Linked DNA regions of Ovis aries. The protein of the gene in region 3 binds, or shares a complex with, the protein of the main gene of each other region. Links are inferred from orthologs where the notes say so. Each region holds a gene or a part of one and is shown on either strand. Other genes may lie near its edges.

What was found. Proteins that work in one complex are often made in the same cells at the same time.
Region 1: LRRC23 (region 3) and DYDC1 share a complex: the UniProt entries of both Homo sapiens proteins name them as parts of the axonemal radial spoke complex. The link is inferred for Ovis aries from reciprocal best matches to the Homo sapiens genes LRRC23 and DYDC1.
Region 2: LRRC23 (region 3) and NME5 share a complex: the UniProt entries of both Homo sapiens proteins name them as parts of the axonemal radial spoke complex. The link is inferred for Ovis aries from reciprocal best matches to the Homo sapiens genes LRRC23 and NME5.

The regions. Positions count from the first base shown.
Region 1 is NC_056078.1:34,793,954-34,798,113, forward strand, and holds the start of DYDC1 (DPY30 domain-containing protein 1), read right to left. Parts: upstream 2,802-4,160; 5' UTR 2,523-2,801; intron 2,490-2,522; exon of another isoform or gene 2,326-2,489; intron 1-2,325. UniProt on the Homo sapiens protein: Functions as part of axonemal radial spoke complexes that play an important part in the motility of sperm and cilia. Plays a crucial role during acrosome biogenesis.
Region 2 is NC_056058.1:47,235,902-47,239,929, forward strand, and holds the start of NME5 (nucleoside diphosphate kinase homolog 5), read right to left. Parts: upstream 2,802-4,028; 5' UTR 2,745-2,801; exon of another isoform or gene 2,311-2,744; 5' UTR 2,268-2,310; coding exon 2,139-2,267; intron 1-2,138. Other genes in the region: bromodomain-containing protein 8-like, read right to left, coding at 3,512-3,562. UniProt on the Homo sapiens protein: Functions as part of axonemal radial spoke complexes that play an important part in the motility of sperm and cilia. Does not seem to have nucleoside diphosphate kinase (NDPK) activity.
Region 3 is NC_056056.1:209,392,591-209,396,102, forward strand, and holds part of LRRC23 (leucine-rich repeat-containing protein 23), read right to left. Parts: intron 3,388-3,512; 5' UTR 3,338-3,387; coding exon 3,215-3,337; intron 3,131-3,214; coding exon 3,021-3,130; intron 2,617-3,020; coding exon 2,363-2,616; intron 1,549-2,362; coding exon 1,418-1,548; intron 1-1,417. UniProt on the Homo sapiens protein: Essential for sperm motility and male fertility. Plays an important role in the proper assembly of the third radial spoke (RS3) head and the bridge structure between RS2 and RS3 in the sperm flagella.

The DNA of each region.
Region 1 (4,160 bases), on a different chromosome or scaffold from region 3:
GATAATGCTCTAAAGACAAAAATAACTACATTGTCATCTCAATTCCATCTGAAACACACTAGCAATTTCTAAAGGACTTCTCCCTGGTGGCCCGGGCAGTGAAGGATCTGACTGCAGTGCAGGAAATCTGGAACAGATTCCTGCTGCAGCTCCAGAAAGCGAACACAGGAGGAGACAACCCTGGTCTCCGAAAGGAGAAACCGCCCAAGGAGGACTGGTCTCCAACAGAAGCCGGCTGCATCTGCTCATCAACCGAACCCAGGTGAAACTCCTTACTTCCTTCGGCTTGCTTCCTCTCCAGGAAACAGCAAAAATACCCAGCCAGTTGTAAGGCATATTTTTCAGACACACCAACAGGCATCTTGGCTCAACATAAGAAAGCTCATTCCCACAGAAACAGCTGCCTTAAGCCTGGCGAGAATACACAGAAGAACTGTACAAAAAGATCTTCAAGACCCGGATAATCACGATGGTGTGATCACTCACCTAGAGACAGACATCCTGGAATGTGAAGTCAAGTGGGCCTTAGAAAGCATCACTACAAACAAAGCTAGTGGAGGTGATGGAATTCCAGTGGAGCTATTTCAAATCCTGAAAGATGATGCTGTGAAAGTGCTGCACTCAATATGCCAGCAAATTTGGAAAACTCAGCAGTGGCCACAGGACTGGAAGAGGTCAGTTTTCATTCCAGTCCCAAAGAAAGGCAATGCCAAACAATGCTCAAACTACTGCACAATTGCACTCATCTCATATGCTAGTAAAGTAATGCTCAAAATTCTCCAAGCCAGGCTTCAACAATATGTGAACCGTGAACTCCCTGATGTTCAAGCTGGTTTTAGAAAAGGCAGAGGAACCAGAGATCAAATTGCCAACATCTGCTGGATCATGGAAAAAGCAAGAGAGTTCCAGAAAAACATCTATTTCTGCTTTATTGACTATGCCAAAGCCTTTGACTGTGTGGATCACAATAAACTGTGGAAAATTCTGAGAGAGATGGGAATACCAGACCACCTAACCTGCCTCTTGAGAAATCTGTATGCAGGTCAGGAAGCAACAGTTAGAACTGGACATGAAACAACAGACTGGTTCCAAATAGGAAAAGGAGTGCATCAAGGCTGTATATTGTCACTCTGCTTATTTAACTTATATGCAGAGTACACCATGAGAAACGCTGGACTGGAAGAAACACAAGGTGGAATCAAGATTGCCAGGAGAAATATGAATACCCTCAGATATGCAGATGGCATCACCCTTATGGCAGAAAGTGAAGAGGGACTAAAAGCCTCTTGATGAAAGTGAAAGAGGAGAGTGAAAAAGTTGGCTTAAAGCTCAACATTCAGAAAACGAAGATCATGGGATCCAGTCCCATCACTTCATGAGAAATAGATGGGGAAACAGTGGAAACAATGGCTGACTTTATTTTTGGGGGCTCCAAAATCACTGCAGATGGTGACTGCAGCCATGAAATTAAAAGACGCTTACTCCTTGGAAGAAAAGTTATGACCAACCTCGATAGCATATTCAAAAGCAGAGGTGTTACTTTGCTGACTAAGGTCCGTCTAGTCAAGGCTATGGTTTTTCCTGTGGTCATGTATGGATGTGAGAGTTGGACTGTGAAGAAGGCTGAGCGCCGAAGAATTGATGCTTTTGAACTGTGGTGTTGGAGAAGACTCTTGAGAGTCCCTTGGACTGCAAGGAGCTCCAACCCTCCATCCTAAAGGAGATCAGTCCTGGGTGTTCTTTGGAAGGAATGATGCCAAAGCTGAAACTCCAGTACTTTGGCCACCTCATGCGAAGAGTTCATTCATTGGAAAAGACTCTGATGCTGGGAGGGATTGGGGGCAGGAGGAGAAGGGGACGACAGAGGATGAGATGGCTGGATGGCATCACTGACTCGATGGACGTGAGTCTGAGTGAACTCCAGGAGTTGGTGATGGACAGGGAAGCCTGGGGTGCTGCAATTCATGGGGTCGCAAAGAGTCGGACACGACTGAGCGACTGAACTGAACTGAACTGAACTGAAGCCTGGCGAAGCTGTCCAAAGAAACAGAGGTTCCTCGGTCATGCTTGGGAGAAAGCAGGCCGAGTGGGAGAGGAAGGGATCGGATACAGTGGCCAGTTAAATTTAAAATTTCAGATAAACAAGAAACGATTTTGTATTATACACTCTACTATACATGTACTAAACAGTAATTTCTTATGTCTCTGAAATTCAAATTTAACTGGGTACCCCGAATTTTACCGACCTGGATTCCGAGAGCTTCGGTAGCTTTTCTATTCCAGACCCGCCTCCCCTGCCCCTCCAAAAGGCGCGGCGCTGCTCACCAGTGAGGAGGAAGAGGAGTAGGACTCAGCCACAGAGCTGCCTCCCTGCGCTGAGCTATTCCTCTGTCGCACCACTGGCAGGGTCCAAGGGCCAAAGCTGCCTCTGCCGGCTGGAAACCAGCCCAGCACCGGAAGCTGTTCTTCCCAAAAGGCGCCTGCATTCTAGAGGCTGGCGCCTGACGCATGCGCCTACCTACCTGCAGATAGCGTCCCGTTGCTAGGCAATGAGCCCGCGCGCCCCTGGGCTGGAGACTGCCTGGGTCCGAGAGAGAAGAGTGCGTGCTGAGAGCTGAGCTGACTACGCTGGGCTGAGGTCAGAAGAGGCGCGGGCCGGGGCGTGAGCGATGGTGAGGGTTGGAGGCGGCGGCGGAGTAGATGCTGCAGAGAGGAGAAGCTGGAGGAGTGGAAGGTAGGATGCGCAGCTGAGAGGAGGCTGCGCCCAAGGTGTACAGGGTGCTGGATGGAGAGCCGGAAGCACCAGGGTACGTGAGCAGAGACAGGATGTGCAATCTAGAGGCTTTGAGGAGGGGCCAGCCAAAAAGGGGAATTGACCAAGCGAGACTGGCAAGCGCAGTGCACACGGAGAGAGCCAGGACAGAGGCTGACCGGGACGGGGCGGGGCGGGGCGGGGCAGGGGCGGGAGTGGATGTGCGCAAAGGCTACCGGTAGGTGAAGCCCGCACTGCTTAAGGCCAGAAAAGAGTGTAGCAATCTAACATCCTGGTATTTTCTCAGCCTAGCGCTTTCGCACCTGCTGGTGACTTCTGCTTGGATCCTGGCCACTGGGGGTGGGGATAGCACATCTAAGAGCTGTAAATTCAGTTTTACTTGGGGACTTAACTGAGGATTATAGCCCTGCAGACAGCCTCTCAGACAACTCTGAGAAACTGCTTCAGCATGGAAGAGGTGAGGGCAGAGGTCAGCGTATAGGAGATTTGGAGAACGGGTACCTGCAGTCAAACATATATCTAGGTAAAAGTCTACTGCTAGTTATCAAGCACACACAGTTTAATTATTTTATGGCTTTTCTAAGTATGTAAGATGCAAGAAATTGGGTTTGTAAATTTTTGTCCTGAAAGTTTCTGTCTGAAGGTCTATTCTGTCAGTTTTCCCAGAAAGTGGAGTATCTCATTCCTGATTTCCACCCTGAACTCTTTTCAGGCTGTGTTAGTGACCAGTTAACAACTGCTAATGACTCAGTCCTTGTGGAGCCAGCTGGCTGGAGACATTCTTTAGTTGGCACTACTTTCAGAGCGAGCCCGGGTGCCCCCACCTCCAGGAAGTCTTCCAACCTTTTTCATCTCCCCCACCATCTGCAGCCTTCCCTGGGCTAGTTGTTTCGCACAGTTCTTGGCTAGCATTTCCCATGTTTTGTTTCAGTTTATGTGGGGCAGTGCTGGGCACAAGATGCTTCACTAAATGTTGATTGAGATAATAAGTGCCAGCGGGAGCACTGACAGATGGAAGGCTCTTCAGCGTTTGGTCCTCAGTGTCTGCCACACTGCAGTAAGTGTGGCAAACTGGATAAACGATCTGCTCCAAACTTGGTGATCCCACCCCCTGGGAAGGGTAGTTGTACTGGGATTAAGGCAAAGGAGAGCTGTAACTGTGTATCACCTGGGGATTCTGTTAAAATGCAGACTCTCAATCTGTAAATCTGAGGTGGGACCTGAGAATCTGCATTTCAACAACTCCCAGGTGATGCAATGACCACACTTTGATGAGAAGGGGTGTAGAAAGTAGTTTACTTGGGTGCATTGGTTCAGGTGCATTAGTCACAGATTGGCAGAAGCAGCCACCAACACATCCCCATCCCCTCCCTTCACCACTACCCCA
Region 2 (4,028 bases), on a different chromosome or scaffold from region 3:
GAAGTTTTAATTTCTAATTATTGCTTGCTGCTTAATTATTTTTTCACTAATTCTTTTCAAACTTCTAAAAATCAAATTGGAAACTTTATCTTATTTGTATGTTTTGTCTTTCTTCTAAAATTAATGAGTAACATACTTCAGGGATTAAAAAATTCAAAGCAATATAAAAAGGTTCATACTGAAAAATTTCATTCCCATTCCTGTCCTAATTCAGCCTGTTCTTCCTTACCTTCTATATGCAATCATTTTTTACTGTTTATTTAAAATTCATTTTGTAAATTCTTCTAAATTCTTCTAAATTCATTTTGTAAATACTGGCAAACATGAATATATATTACTTTTTCTCTTTCTATCATAGAAAAAAGCTACACATTGTTCTGCATCTTGCTTTTTTCCCTAGCAGGACACAGAGAGGTTCTTCATTGCTCTTTTTATAATTAGTTGCATAGTATTCAATTTGGCAAATTCGTCAGGGTGAATTTCACCAATTTCCTAATGTGGGGTTATTTTCAATTTTTTGCTTGTAAATAAACAATGCTACAAAAAATTACCTAGATATATGTCACTGCATATTAATACACAAGTTATAGGAGAGATTCCCAGAAGTAGTACTGCTGGGTCAAAGGGAAGATGCATCTGTAAATACTGATAGATAATCGCCAGATTCCCTTCCATAGGGGTTATGTCATTTACTTTTATATTCTTGCCAGATGGTAGTTCAGTGTCATTTTAATTTGCTTTTTTCCTGCTTAGAGATTGAGCATCCTTTACCATGTTTTAGAAGCATTTTTATTTCTTTGACCATCCACATGTACTGCCCATTTTCAACCGAATTTTTATCCTGTTTTAGGAGCTTTTTATACATTTGGGAGATTACTCTTTATGAGTTACAAGTATTTTTTCCAAGTTTGTCACCTGTGTTTTGCCTTTGCTTATTATGCTTATTTGGCCATGCTCAAGTTTTTTATGTTTATATTTTTATCAATCTTTTATTTTACAGTACCCAGTAAAAAGGCTGTTCCCTTCCGAGAATAAAAAGAAATTCAGCCATTTTTCTTCTAGAGTTTATATGGTTTAGTTTTTTAATATTTAAATGTCAAATTCATTTGGAATTTATCCTGGTATATATAGTGTAATATTTGAATCCAAGTTTTTTTTTTAAGTGGCTACCCAGTTTCCTAACATTTATTTAAAAGCTCATCTTTATCTGAATCTTTTAATTATATTATTTCTTTATACTTTCCCTTATACTACTCCCTTAAATTTTCTTGTAGCATCTCACCCTCAGCCTCCACGTATCCTTCTAAGTTCATTTAAAAACCCATCTTCTGAAGACTGAAGTTATCTTTTTTATTTTTTAAAAGACTCAACAAGCAATATGACAGTCAATAAATATAATAAAAAGTGAAATTTCAAATAAGAATGGTACAAAAAAGGAAAATTAAAAATATTCCATTCTATTTGATAGTCTTTATATATTCAAACTACTAACTGCAGAACAAGGAAAAGGCTTAAAACATTAAATTAAAAAAAAAAAACACAACTCAACAGTCTAAAAATTCATCAAGAGAAGATCAAGTAAATAAACTGTGGTTTATTAGGACAGAAGAGTATTTACACAGAAGTTAGATTCAGAAGTAATGATCTGGCATGCTATCTGAGGGAGGGTAAAGAGGGTCCAGGGAGGGCGACTGTCCTACTTTATGGGGGAAACATATTTGTAAATGCACACAAAAATTCTGGAAGAAAATAAAGTGTCAAGTGATTGTCTCTGCAGATTGAGAGTTGATGGGAGAAAGAAGCTTTACTTCTCATTTTATATATTTTTAAACTGTGAAAATACTTTTTGGAAAATTATCACATATAACTTTTATATTCAGAAGAGTAAACCTAAATTTCATGCTAAATACGAAGGATTGAACTGGGCTAACACATATACATAAACATTTTCAAAAGGTAAAATCAAAGGTATTCTAAAACAAGTTTAGGGATATAACTCTATGAGTAAGAAGAGCTTTCAAACATACCTTTTATTTAAGATAAAGTGAATTTTTAATTCTATTTTAGCTAAAAGCTAAGGCAGAAAAGTCTAGTTCAGTAGAGAGGGAAAAAACATGATCATACTGCCCAGAAGTTACCTGAACAATGGTGAATCCAGATCTGAGAATAATATCTTGTATCTCCTCCTCTTTGTCAACAATATCTGGTTTGATAATAGCCAGAGTCTTTTCTACGTAGATCTGAGGTGGGGGCATTGATAGCTCCATTCTGGCTTTTGAGCTACAATTTAAGGTCCTTCACGCGAATCAACTGCAATGACATGCACCCGCACCCCCAACTTAATGTAATTGTGACTAAACAGCATTATCAGGTGCTTGATTTTTATTAATTTATAAAGCTGGAAACTGTCGGAGTTTTTTCCACAAGCAGTGTCTCAATAATAAGATTTTTACTCTGTCTCCTGCCATGGGTTTTCCTAGGTGCTTTCATTAAGTTAGGAGAGCCCAAGGAGCAAGACAAAGCCGAGGACTCGAGGAGCCCAGGAGGAGACTAGGTCTGCAACTCTCCACGCCACTCAGCACCACCCTCCACAGTGCACACACACACACCCTCTCTCCACCCCCTCCCGCCACCAGGAGGCTTAGGGTAAGGCCCGGCTGGAAAGCAGAATTCCTGGGTCCCCTGGATCTCTGTGGGCTGCACCCCAGATTTCTTCAGAGTCCGGCCCTCATCTGGGCACTCACCTTAGCCTGGGCTCCTTTAGTGTCACAGATTGTTGCCAGGAGACCAGAAACCCAGCTTAGAGACGGTGGCTGCAGAGGGCCAATTCCAGTAGAGCACTTCAGTCTTTGGCTAGCTCCTTTTAGCCAAGAAAGGGAACCCACCACAGGGATTTTTATCCCCTTGCAAATCTTAAAAGCAGTAGATGTTTTCTAACATTTTCCTCATAATTTATTTTATTTCATCCTCCTAGTCATTCAAAGGACACTTGTATTATCTCCACTTTACAAATGATGAGATAAATCATTGGTGCTCTCCCTCATCCTACCCCCAGCACCTTCCATTCTATGTAAGAAAATCTGTGTCAGATACCTTCCATATTTCACCAGACAATGTTATCCCCTCTACTGCCAGCTTCTATACTCATTAAAAGGTAATTTTTGACTTGTGAATTAACATTTATTTAAAGAGCAGTATTTATTTAAAGAAGTTTAATCTATTTATCTCTAAATTAACCTTACAGAACAAAAATGTGGGCAACATATATGGCATAACCCCAAATCTCAGTTTTCTGTGTTTTCTTTATATCATGTCCACAAGCACCTTTAACTCTTTGGTTGTAAGTTAAGGTATAATTCTTATTAGAAAAGACAACAGAAAAATGGTAAGCAAGTATTGGGATCTTCAATAAGTCAGAGTCTCAAAGAAAGGTCCAAAATCCAGAAAAGTTCAGGAAAGCAGCTCCAAGTTAGCCAAACAGGTTTTCCATCATCCATAGGTTGGTTAGTTTTCATTCCAGACTATTTAAGTCTCTTCTTTTGTCTAACCAAATACTCAGCACCTACAGGGTCAAGGCAGATAGCAGCTATGAATCTTTATGGAGGTTTGAATGCAATTTTATTTCTTTCTCTGCAGAGATTCAACCATGTTTTTTTCTTTAAAGTATCAATAAGATGCTGCCCAAAAAACAAACCCTCAAATGTCTTCTGGCTACCATATCTTATCTTCTACAGATGGGACAATGTGCACATATATTAATACCAACATAGTGTCAAAAAATGGACAGTGACTCCAGCCTCAGGTGTTCATGTTTAGCCCTCTGACTTGAGGCTCTGGAAGTAGATGCACCCATTACTTCCTTATCTATCCCCAGGTCACTAAGAGCTCTTTACTGCTGCCTGCCTTCCTAGAGTATTTTACTTCACCATCTATTAAAGCTGGTTCCACAGAGGAGCAGTAACAATATCAACCCTTCAGGGCCTTGAATCACCTCTAAACATAAACTCTGGGAGAACAAGGTCATTTCA
Region 3 (3,512 bases):
TGGTAAAGAATCTGCCTGCCAGTGCAGGAGACATAGATCAGAGAAGACCCCACATGCTGCAGAGCAACTAAGCCCACCTGCCACAGCTACTGAGTCTGTGCTCTAGAGCCTGGGAACAACAACTACTGAGCCCAGGCACCCTAGAGCCTGTGCTCCACAAGAGAAGCCACCACAGTGAGAAGCCCTTGCACCACAACTAGAGAGTAGCCCCTGCTCGTGGCAACTGGAGTAAAGCAATGAAGACCCAGCACAGCCAATAATGAATTGTGTGTGTGTGTGTGTGCACGCGTGTGCATGCCAGTCACTCAGTTGTGTCTAATTCTTTGAGACCCCCTGGACTGTAGCCCACCTGGCTCTTCTGTCCATGAGGATTCTCCAGGCAAGAATACTAGAGTGGGTTGCCATGCCCTTCTCCAGGGGATCTTCCCCATCCAGGGATCAAACCCAGGCTTCCCACATTGCAGGCAGATTCTTTACTTAGATTTGCAAAACAGCAAATCTAAGAGGTAGAGAGGGTGAGAAAGGGGAGTGGAGGTGAGTAGAGATCCATGTAGATAGCAAAGAATCCAGGAGAAGCTTTCAACCAAGAGAAAGGTTAGCAGTAAATCCTACTATCCAGCCCACCACAGCCACCTCTGATGAAGGAGATGCTTCAACCCACCCCCACTACCCCCCAGCCCAAGAGCCTCACTGCTCCACCAAGGAGACATGGCTTCAGCAGCATTTTGGAATGAAGAAGCTCAAGGGCTTAAAAGACTAGACACAGGACCTTCCCTGGTGGTCCAGTGGTTAAGACTCCCAACGCAGGAAACACAGGTTTGAGCCCAGTTTGGGGAACTAAGAGCCACATGCCGTGTGGCCCAGCCAAAAAAAAAAAAAATTAAAAGACTAGACACCTAAGTGGCCGCCTTAGCCTGATGTCTGCACCTCAGTTATGCACATGGTGTCCCAACCTATATCAAAGCAAACTGTCTCTATGTCATCCACACGCTGTGTATTGTTAGCCCTGTTAATTGGTGAACACCTTGTCTATTTGGATTTTGCATCCTCACAGCAAACGCTTGGTGTTTGGAAATAATGTCAGTTATCATAAGGATGAAGTTAGTAGGTGAGTCCACTAGAAGCCAGGCTTCCCTGGTGACTCAGTGGTAAAGACTCCACCTGCAGTGCAGAAGAGGATTTGATCCCTGGGTCGGGAAGGAGGATATATCCCCTAGAGGAGGATATGGCAACCCACTCCAGTATTCTTACCTGGAAAATCTCATGGACAGAGGAGCCTGGCCAACTCCTCTGTCCGTAGCATTGCAAGAGTCAGACACGACTTGGCAACTAAACCACCTACAAAAAGCTGGTATCCTGGCCCCCCAGGACAGTGCCCCTTTTCCAGAACCCACCACCCTGTGACCCAGGGCGCTACCAGGAAGAGGTTCTTCAGCTTAGGGAGGTTGATTCCCTGGGTGCTATTCAGTTGGTTCCCCCGAAGCTCCAGCGTGTGCAGGCTGATCAGTTTTTGGGGATCCAAACCTGTCACCATGTGGATGCGGTTCCCTGAGGAGAAGGAGGGTGTGAAGGGTTCAGAGGGCCACCCTGAGTGTTCAGCAATAGAGCCTCTGCATCACCTTCTCTAATGCCAGGTGGATACGAGGAGGGCCACCTCCAGATGTAACACCCACAGGGCCTTGGGGCGATGGGATCCAAGGGCCCAAGGGATGTGCCCACCTAAGTCTTTGAGGCATGAATGAGGCGTGCCCCACAATCCATACAGCTAACTCCCTCTCCTCCTTCAAGTCTTCGCTTAGGTGTCAACTTCCCAATGACATTTGTCCTAGCCAACCTGTTTGAAATCGCCACCTCCCCCCACCCATTTCCTTTACCCTGATCTATTTTTTCCATTGTACTTTTCTCCTTTTATTTTTTTGTTCTTTTTTAGCACTTATCTCCTTTTAACATACTTTATAAAAATTTACTTCTTTATTGTGATCGTTGGGACTTCCCTGGTGGTTCAGTGGTTAAGACGCCACACTTCCACTCAGGGGCACTGGTTCGATCCCTACTTGGGGAACTATGATCCTGAATGCTGCATGGCACCGGCCAAAAAATAAATAAAATTAACTATTGTGATCATCGATGATTGCCTGCCTTCCCCGACTAGAACGTAAGCTATGCAAGAATAGGGAATTTCTTTGTTTTGTTCACTCCTACATCTCCAGCACATAGAACTGTCATCGTGAACCACCACGGGTGTCTGAACGAGGGAGTGAATAATGTAGGTTGCTATGTCGCACAGCCAAGGGCCATGCTGCCCACTGCTATTGGCCCCAGGCGAGAAAGGAATTGTGCGAGGCCCATCCTAAGGCCCCACCTTTGAGATCCAGACTGGCCAGACGAGGATGAGAGATGCCCTCCATGTCGGTGATCTGGTTGTAGGCAAAGCTGGCGATCTGCAGGTAGGGCAGTTCGTTCAGGGCGGCACTCCGAAGCTGGTTGCCATCGGCCTTGAGCCAGAGCAGGTGGGTGAGGTAATTGAGTGGGGACAAATCTGTCAAGTGGTTTTCAGAAACATCCACGTATCGCAGATGGATGTAGGAACGCAAGAGGTGGATGTCTGTCAGATCCCTAGGAGGTGGTAGAGGCCAGGTCAGGGTTAAGAATCCAGCAAGGGCTGTCGGAGGTGCTAAAGCAGAGGGCAGCGTGAAGATGGCTTAGAGTGGAGAGAAGAGCGACTAACAGATGGGCGAGTCGGGGAGGGGAAGCAGAAGGTGGGTGGGCTCTCAACTCTGAAGGACATGCGAGAGTCCAGCTGGAATCTCCACCCCACCCTATCCCCTTACGGCCTCCAATGCCGCAGGCCAGCTCTGATGCAGGGGGTCACAGCGTCCTGAGAAGTAGACTCTATCCTTCCCTCTTAGCTGGCCCAGGATGACAGAGATCCAAACTCAGCCAAAACACCCATGATGGAGGGTGAGAAAGGAGACTAGGCCCCACAACCTCGGCCCGCTTCTGGCCCCCCATAAACACACCTGTCTTTAATCTCCAGCTTGACGTAAGCATGAGCCAGTCCATTACCCGTCTTGCAGAGCAGAGAAAGCCCTTCCTTCATCATGTCCTCTGTGAGGGGTGTGGATATCCACTGCAGGAGGAAGCGGACTCAGGCTTGCCTTTCCAGCCCAACCCCAGCCCTTAAGCCCAGACCCCTCCGTTTCCAAGTTCTCACATCCTCGGACTCCTCTCCCTCCTTCCTGTAGTCCTCCCACTCCTCTGTCTCCTTGTCATCATCTTCCCTTTCCAGATCATCCTGGTCTGGCTCAAAGTCTTCCAGGTCATCTTCATCTGACATTTGTCTTCCCTGCTGAAGGCTCTGGAGTCAGATCAGGCTGGGTCCTCGCCCTGAGAGAGATGATCTCAGTGTTAGCCAATGCTTCCTCCCTCACCTCCATTAATGGGTACCCCTTCCATCACCCTATCACCACCCTCCCAGATCTCCTGCCAGCCATGCTTCTTTCCTCATCCCT